Linked DNA regions of Arabidopsis thaliana. The protein of the gene in region 2 interacts with the protein of the main gene of each other region in a pairwise test. Each region holds a gene or a part of one and is shown on either strand. Other genes may lie near its edges.

Region 1 (4,127 bases), about 14 Mb from region 2:
TTTCAATATATATCAACTTTAGTGTAAAAGCCTTAACATTCTCTTGAATATTTAATTTATTTCTCCTTATTTCGATTTAATGACAAATGTGAATTAATTTTTGTGATATTTTTGTTCGAAATTAGTTTTCAGTTAATAACATACATGTGAGCATGGGACACACATGATTTAACAAAAGGGAATGACGAAATGATATATCAAAATATTAGTATGGGAACAAATTACGAGGTGAAACTTCACACTCAACTCAATTAAAACTAGAATAAAGAAATGGAAAAAGTGAAAGAATGAGAGGTCAAATGTGGTTAATCATTATGTGGTATTAGTTAATCCATCAATTGTGTACCCAAAAGCATGATTAAGCATAGAATTTAGAGAAACAAAACATCATTATTAATGTTGAAACACAAAGATCCCATCAACAGACAAATGATAAGTACAGTGCATGTAGGGTAACAACTTTTATGTACATGTTATATACTTATATTATATAATAAGAAAACGATTAAAGTGTCATTGCTCCAGCCTCTATTTGTAAATCATATTATATCAGTATGCTTAATTCCAATAATTAAGTCCATAACTAAAATATATACACATATATGTATGTTAAATGGTTGAATATATACATATATTTTCATAAACAAATATTGCTAATTAATTCAGTTATTTGTGTACATAATCCAACTATCACCTTTTTAGCTGGAAGTGGATATTCCAACATGTCAGTCTGTCACTCCCACATTCATACTCTCTATTCTTTTTAGCTATTTCAATATCTACGGTTAAATATTAATGGCTATATAGCCTTACCCTTCATTTTAGTTTTTTTTTGGTATTCGCATAACCATCGAATACTCAAACTTACTATGTAAGATGGTCTGAATAACTATTTCCGATTTAAGATGAATAGCTAGATTGAAATATACATGCACTAATTGGACATGCACTAAAGGCAGAGGTGAATTAAATGATGAAATGAAGATGAAGTGTCACACTTGTGCAAAAAGCATGTCCCCTGCTCTTCTCCGCTTGTTTCAATTTCTTTGACTTTCATCACGTTTTTGTCACTTAAATACACCAAAAAATATAGTACAATTAAACATCGAAAATCGTCCAAAAAGAAGAAAAAAAATCATGGAAAGTTCTTTCGTTAATGTTACACACATTATCTTGATTAGGTGACACCAGATATTAGAATAAAAATGATAGATTATGAAAAGAAAAAAAAAATTGATGTATTTTTAGGATACATCGAAAGGAATGAACATACCAAAAACATGGGAAAAAATAGATAACTAATTAACATGGTAGAATGTAGATGACGTAGATCATGAAACGAGTGTGTGATATATTAATGAAAATTATTTTAATATACGTAGCTATATTAGAAAATAATTTACATTTATTTTCTTCTAAACAAATCTATACTTTATATTTACATACATTAGTAAAGACCAAAACACATGGAATTCAAATTCTGCAATAAGTAATTGCAAGAAAACACAAAGATTAATCCCCCACTAAACCCGTTTATTTACGTTAGTATTTTTCCGTTTTATACATTACACATGACATGACATTACACGTCAAAAGAAATATGTCTTACGTCAGAACTTACGTATGATCAAACTCGATTTAAACATAGAAACATCTGTTTACTAAATTATACTAATTTCATAAAGACACTTTAATGCATGAACTTCTTTGTTTAAATAACAATTTCCCCCTTTTGGGGGCTATGTCTCGTCGAGTCCTACCACCATTATAAATTATCTCATCGTTTGCTTTCTTTTTTTTAAGTTGTAACCATTTCCACTCGTAATCATACAACTTCTCTACTCTTCTAGAGCAAAAACCCAAAAATATATTGCTATCTTCGTTAATGGCTGATAATAAGGTCAATCTTTCGATTAATGGACAATCAAAAGTGCCTCCAGGTTTCAGATTCCATCCCACCGAAGAAGAACTTCTCCATTACTATCTCCGTAAGAAAGTTAACTCTCAAAAGATCGATCTTGATGTCATTCGTGAAGTTGATCTAAACAAGCTTGAGCCTTGGGATATTCAAGGTTAAACCCTAAATATGAAAAAAAACTCTTTCATTTCTACGAACTCTCTATTTCTTTGTTCTTTATTTTTGAACCATTTTGGTATGCAAATGCAGAGGAATGTAGAATCGGTTCAACGCCACAAAACGACTGGTACTTCTTCAGCCACAAGGACAAGAAGTATCCAACCGGGACCAGGACGAACCGGGCAACAGTCGCTGGATTCTGGAAAGCTACCGGACGTGACAAAATCATCTGCAGTTGTGTCCGGAGAATTGGACTGAGGAAGACACTCGTGTTCTACAAAGGAAGAGCTCCTCACGGTCAGAAATCCGACTGGATCATGCATGAGTATCGCCTCGACGATACTCCAATGTCTAATGTAAGTATATATAGCAATCATCAATTTGCAGTTTAGGTTAGAATAAACAAATTACAAACTTATAGTCAAAGAATTAGCTAGATTCGTTTCATGCTATAAAAGGTTTTGGTTCATTTAGTACGCACTAGAGCCTTCTTTTAGCATCTGCAATTAAAGTAATCGAACATGATTCTCTGAGTTACAATAAGATAATTTCTTATGAAATTAACACATCATATATACATTTATATAAAAAGATTTTTTCACAAGGCTTAAAATAGTTTAACACGGCTCTACAAACAATACGTAGTTAACTAGTTATGGTTGCATATCCAAAAGAAAAACCAACATAAAAGATTTTTTTTTTTGTTTCAAAATAAAAGTTGCATTTTTACATCATCAAGATTTAATCATCTCTTATTGCATTTCATAAGATCGATTTGTGTTCCATTATCAGGGCTATGCTGATGTTGTTACAGAAGATCCAATGAGCTATAACGAAGAAGGTTGGGTGGTATGTCGAGTGTTCAGGAAGAAGAACTATCAAAAGATTGACGATTGTCCTAAAATCACTCTATCTTCTTTACCTGATGACACGGAGGAAGAGAAGGGGCCCACCTTTCACAACACTCAAAACGTTACCGGTTTAGACCATGTTCTTCTCTACATGGACCGTACCGGTTCTAACATTTGCATGCCCGAGAGCCAAACAACGACTCAACATCAAGATGATGTCTTATTCATGCAACTCCCAAGTCTTGAGACACCTAAATCCGAGAGCCCGGTCGACCAAAGTTTCCTGACTCCAAGCAAACTCGATTTCTCTCCCGTTCAAGAGAAGATAACCGAAAGACCGGTTTGCAGCAACTGGGCTAGTCTTGACCGGCTCGTAGCTTGGCAATTGAACAATGGTCATCATAATCCGTGTCATCGTAAGAGTTTTGATGAAGAAGAAGAAAATGGTGATACTATGATGCAGCGATGGGATCTTCATTGGAATAATGATGATAATGTTGATCTTTGGAGTAGTTTCACTGAGTCTTCTTCGTCTTTAGACCCACTTCTTCATTTATCTGTATGATTATCTATACATACACATACACAAAATATAAAATAAAGTTTGTTAAAAAATGTCTCATGTTCTATTGATAGTACGTCTTGATTTTGGGGTTTAACATTTGTTAATGGTGGAGGGTAATTTTTTTATAATATTTATAATCATAAAATTTACGAAGTTAAAGAATGATATTATATACAAAACTTGAATAACGACTCTTTCAATTGCTTACTAAGCTATTTTAGAAGTCATTACATTTAGTTCTTTATCTTTGACTATTAAAGCTAAAAGATGTCCAAAAAAAAAAAAAGCTAAATGGTAGAACTTTTCACATCCCTCATCTTTCATTCTACATTTCTTACATGCCCACTATTGAATTTGAATCCAAATTATGATACGAAGATTGCCATATTTGTACAACCACGAGAATATATGTTTATCGCTTAAATCTTTTGTATTTGCGAATCATAAAGCCCATAGGCCATAGTGAGAGTTAATATTCGGTAAATTTGTACTTTGGTTCAAACGCACATGGTGAATCCGTATTTTATAAAAAACTTTCTAAATTAATAATGAGTTAATGACAGAACTATGATGTATATGTTAATTTATAGTAATATTATTTTTTCTATAAATTTCAAATCTCAAATTTTTTAAT
Region 2 (5,007 bases):
GTGAATGCTCAAGCCTAGTAGAGCTTCCTTCATCTATTGGGAATCTCATTAATCTCAAGAAATTGGATCTCAACAAATGCACGAAGCTGGTATCACTCCCGCAGCTTCCAGATTCCTTATCAGTTTTAGTTGCAGAATCATGTGAGTCCTTGGAGACACTTGCTTGCTCCTTTCCGAATCCCCAAGTTTGGCTCAAATTTATTGACTGCTGGAAACTGAATGAAAAAGGGAGAGATATCATCGTCCAGACATCGACAAGTAACTACACGATGTTACCAGGTAGAGAAGTGCCTGCGTTTTTCACTTACCGAGCTACCACTGGAGGTTCTCTGGCAGTGAAGTTGAATGAGAGGCATTGTCGTACATCTTGTAGATTTAAAGCTTGCATCTTGCTGGTTAGAAAGGGTGACAAAATTGACTGTGAGGAATGGGGGTCCGTATATCTTACCGTCCTAGAGAAACAGAGTGGTCGCAAGTATAGTTTAGAAAGCCCAACTCTATATCCACTTTTAACTGAGCATCTGTACACATTCGAAATCGAAGCAAAAGGTGTGAAATCCGTAGAGCTTGTCATTAAGTTCCAATTCGGCAGGAAAAAATGGGAGATAGGTGAATGCGGGATACGCCCACTCTTGGAGGAGGACACTCACGTCGAAAGTTCTATATAATGACGTGATTGTATTGTCTATTTCCATATACGGTATATATGTTTGTAACACAGTTATTGGTGATGGTAAAAGAGAAGTTATTGGTGAAGGATGCTGAGGAAACGTGAAGCTATTATTACCAATATGGATACTGAAAAGAGATTCATTGGAGACAATGCTCCATTCAACTGGAGCTGTAGAGGTTGTTCTTGCGAAAACATGTGAAGGGATTCTGTAAGGAGGTTTATTAGGGCTCGAGGTCTTTGTTGTTGTGTTGTTAGTGGATCTTTCCATGACTTGTGTCGGAAGATATTGCTCTACATTGTTTTAGAATCTGATCAGGTCTTGGTTCGCGGCTTCTATGGAAGAATAAGAAGAGGAAGAAGAAGAAGAAAGTCTTGAGATTGGATCTTGCTGGTTAGAAAGGGTGACAAAATTGACTGTGAGAACTGGGGGTACGTATATCTTACCATCGTAGAGAAACAGAGTGGTCGCAAGTATAGTTTAAAAAGCCCAACTCTATATCCACTTTTAACAGAGCCTCTGTACACATTCGAAGTTGAAGCAAGAGGTGTGGAATCCATAGAGCTTTTGTTTGAGTTCGAATTCAACTTAAATGACGACTGGGAGATAGGTGAATACGGGATACGCCCACTCTTGGAAGAGGACGCTCACGTCGAAGGTTCTATATAATACGTGATTTTATTGTCTATGTCCATATACTGTATTTATGTTTTGCAACCGTTGGAGTTCAAATCGAAATCATTAAACATGTCTCTACAGTGAGAGATCAACAAAAGTTTAAGTCGAATTCAGTTTCTTGGTTGACAAATACAGGCTTATTAATCCCCCACCAACATAGAAATCCAGTTTCTAATCACACTTTCTAAAAGTATGAACCAATTTTTTTCTTTTTTAAAAATCTCTTTTACCAAATATCTGAAATCATCAAAACATACTAATAAGCATGTACTATACAAAACATAGATGGTTCAAGAAAAAACACACGTGAAATATAAAACAAAAGAAACAACGGTTTATATAAAACTAATCAACACGTGTAGACCGTATGATTCTCAACCGTAAGGTGCTTAGTTCGCCGTTACGGCACCATCCTCATCAGATCTAAGTGCCACATTCCTAGGAAACGAAACCCGATGAGCTTGACACGTGAAACGTCGGTTAGTAGCTTCTAGTAACTGATTTACTTTGGTGGTTAGCCCAAATGAGTGGTCCAATAAAAAAAGAAAGCGGGTAAGTCGTTGTTTCTGTTCTGTGAAGTAACAGATGAAAATTAATGGAAACGATCCCAAATTCCCTAGTCTCTAGCTTCCAACCCTAATTTCCGATTTTTTTGGTCTCCCAATCAATACCTATTTCTTCTCTCTCCTTCACAATCTCTCTTCGTTTCCAAAAGCTCTGTTTTTTTTTGTTGTCCTTTTCTCTCTTTTTTTCTTTCTTCCTCATAAGGAAAGTTTTTATGTTCAGCATCTGATTCATGGAAAGTTTTGTTTTGTCTTAAATTAGGTAAGTTTTCTCTTCCTTCTTGGGGATTTTATTGACAAAAGTATGAATCTTTGAAGTGGCCAAGTGGGTATCGTTTGCTATTCCATTGATTCTTGGTGTTGCTCATTGTTAGTTTCAAAATGTGTGTTGTATTCTCTTTGTTCATATGAGTGGGTCATAAGTTATGCAGGATGGGTAGAGTGAAGCTAAAGATAAAGAAACTACAGAACATGAATGGACGTCAATGTACGTATACGAAAAGGAGACATGGGATTATGAAAAAGGCTAAGGAGTTATCGATCTTATGCGACATAGATGTTGTGCTTCTCATGTTTTCTCCCATGGGAAAGGCTTCAATTTGCATAGGCAAACACAGGTCTGATCACACTTTTTTTTTAATACCAAAGTATCTTTCACATTGTTCTGTTTAGTTTGATGTTCTGTTTTTTGGGTTTTGTTTAGCATTGGAGAAGTCATTGCTAAGTTTGCTCAACTCTCTCCTCAAGAAAGAGCAAAGAGGTTTCTTCTCTTCACTTTTACACATTTCTAGGATCTAGAATCTTTCTGCGTTGACATTACACTGAACATATAACTTCTTCGATTTTTGTCTACGTTTGAACAGGAAGTTGGAAAACCTTGAAGTAAGTAGTGGTTCTTGGCTCTGTTTAGTCTCTCTTCTCTTCTCATCTCCTAAACTATCATTAATACTATTTCTTTTTCATAATATCTTAGGCCTTGAGGAAAACTTTCATGAAAGCTAACCACGATATAGATATATCAAAGTTTCTAGACAGAATTAGGTGTGTTATATTATATCAAGAATATGAGATTCTTTCTGAACTCTTTCTCTGTTTGTTCTTGTTTAGTGTTGTTGTGTATTACTACTAATGTGACTCGTTTTTGTTTTCTTTTACAGTACACCAACAGTTGAGGTATGTACAACTACTATGATGTTAATAAATGATTCTGAAGTATCTTCTAATTCGTTTCGCGACACGGGAATTTTCAGGTGCTTAGCGAAAAAATCAGGTTTCTGCAAACACAATTATCAGATATACACACACGACTAAGGTGCAAATATCTTCTATCTACTTCAGTTAAATCTTCCTTTTGGTTTTGGTATTCTAATTTGTGAGTTACATGGTTTTTTGAGATAGCTACTGGACCGATGTAGATAATATCGACAGCGTAGATGTTTTGCAGCAACTAGAACATTCACTAAGACAATCTCTGGCTCAAATCTATGGTCGTAAGGTATGATCTTCCTCCCAAATAATCAAATAATGAGTTAAGGTCTCATTTAACAAAACTTATGCATCTTATTACGACTTATAGGCGAGCATGCCGCAACGTCAGCAGCAACAACTTATGTCCTCACAATGCAAAAACCAGGTAAGGATTCATCACTCTGGACATTATAAAGATGTTTTGAGATATGTATAAACATAGAGCCAAAACATTGTGTTTATGCAGTTGCAGACTGAAATAGATATAGATTTCGGAATGGAGATGGAGCAACAACTTGAGAATTTCTCATGGGTTCGTACCGATGAAAACATGAATGTTCCTATAGAAGAAGAAGACCCTAATCTGCAGCTTCATCACATGTACAAGGACATAACGTGTTCTGCAAGTTCAGCTCTTGGAAATTACTCAGGACTCTTTAGTAAAAGCTCAGATATCTTACAAAAACTAGAAACCGGTAGCATTCCCGGGACATCGGCTGATCCGAACCAACAATTCAGCAATCTCAGTTTCTTAAATGATCAAAAGCTTAAGCAACTAGCTGAGTGGAATCTATTAGGCAGTCCTGCGGATTACTACGTTAGCCAGATCTTGGAAGCTTCTTATAAGCCTCAGATTGGAGGAAAAAACAACGGCGCTTCTTCTGAAACATTACCTTATGTTGCGGTCTTCGATGATCCTCTATATTTTTGGGTAAATAACGGTTTGTTCATCATTCATTTGTTTTCAAAACTCTGTTATTACTGGTCTTGTTTTGCTGACTGTTTCTGAACATATCTAATATGCAACAGCCAAACTGACAAGTAGCTCCGGAAAAAAACATAAGACGCATTGATCCGAAAACGCGCCTTGTCTTTGTATCAACGAGTCATAAATGCCGAAGAAGCTAGGATTGATAGGTTACATGGACACATACTACACTAGATGATACTATTTTAAGTTACTTGTAACTCGAGAGTCATCTCCAAAAAGCGTAAGCAAAGTATTGTTTCTCGGTTATATACTATTTATAATACAAGTCTAAGCTGTGAACGAGAGATGTAAATAAATGCGTTTACCTCTGCTTACGCATCTATAAAATAACATAATATGAGTTGGCTAGAAAAATTTTGATTTGCAGTTTCCAAATCCTTAACTACACTGCAACCACCACATCAAGAGTTTATTATAATTTGAAGAAAAGTAATATTTAAGATGAACTGATGAAGTATTCATTTTGTCCCCATCAAATGATAGAAGAGTAGTAAACAGAGAAAACTGAATAGTCATTTCGAAAGTGTTCATGCAATTTCCCGATAATAGTTTGGAGTTGTTGAATCTCATAAAGGAAGAGTGCTCAGTGAATGCTTAAAATGAGAGAATGGGCTAAATAAGGCCCGTTGAGAAAATGGACGATGTGAAATATGTTGGTTAGCGTTTCGAGTCTGCGGGGACCCATAGGTACTCATGTGGGTAGTTAGAACAAAATATTGTCAGAAAAGCACATGGCTTCGGTTATTCTGTATCACTCGTGATTACTGTTACTACTACGTGCACGTCATTCTTCTTTTTTGTTTTCTTTTTGTCACAACATGCTATTTGCAGTATAGTATAGTTAATTTCTTATTAT

What was found. Proteins that work in one complex are often made in the same cells at the same time.
Region 1: the proteins of AGL94 (region 2) and NAC012 interact in a two-hybrid assay, tested with the Arabidopsis thaliana proteins (one large-scale study listed by BioGRID).

Annotation. Positions count from the first base shown.
Region 1 is NC_003070.9:11,864,709-11,868,835, reverse strand, and holds NAC012 (NAC domain containing protein 12), read left to right. Parts: upstream 1-1,681; 5' UTR 1,682-1,885; coding exon 1,886-2,072; intron 2,073-2,167; coding exon 2,168-2,433; intron 2,434-2,869; coding exon 2,870-3,493; 3' UTR 3,494-3,607; downstream 3,608-4,127. UniProt on the Arabidopsis thaliana protein: Transcriptional activator of genes involved in biosynthesis of secondary walls. Together with NST1, required for the secondary cell wall thickening and lignification of sclerenchymatous fibers and secondary xylem vessels (tracheary elements).
Region 2 is NC_003070.9:26,144,497-26,149,503, reverse strand, and holds AGL94 (AGAMOUS-like 94), read left to right. Parts: upstream 1-1,752; 5' UTR 1,753-2,174; intron 2,175-2,343; 5' UTR 2,344-2,344; coding exon 2,345-2,529; intron 2,530-2,615; coding exon 2,616-2,672; intron 2,673-2,775; coding exon 2,776-2,794; intron 2,795-2,841; exon of another isoform or gene 2,842-2,885; coding exon 2,886-2,953; intron 2,954-3,069; coding exon 3,070-3,085; intron 3,086-3,162; coding exon 3,163-3,224; intron 3,225-3,310; coding exon 3,311-3,407; intron 3,408-3,488; coding exon 3,489-3,545; intron 3,546-3,626; coding exon 3,627-4,169; 3' UTR 4,170-4,189; coding exon of another isoform or gene 4,190-4,198; 3' UTR 4,199-4,503; downstream 4,504-5,007. Other genes in the region: AT1G69550 (disease resistance protein (TIR-NBS-LRR class)), read left to right, coding at 1-668.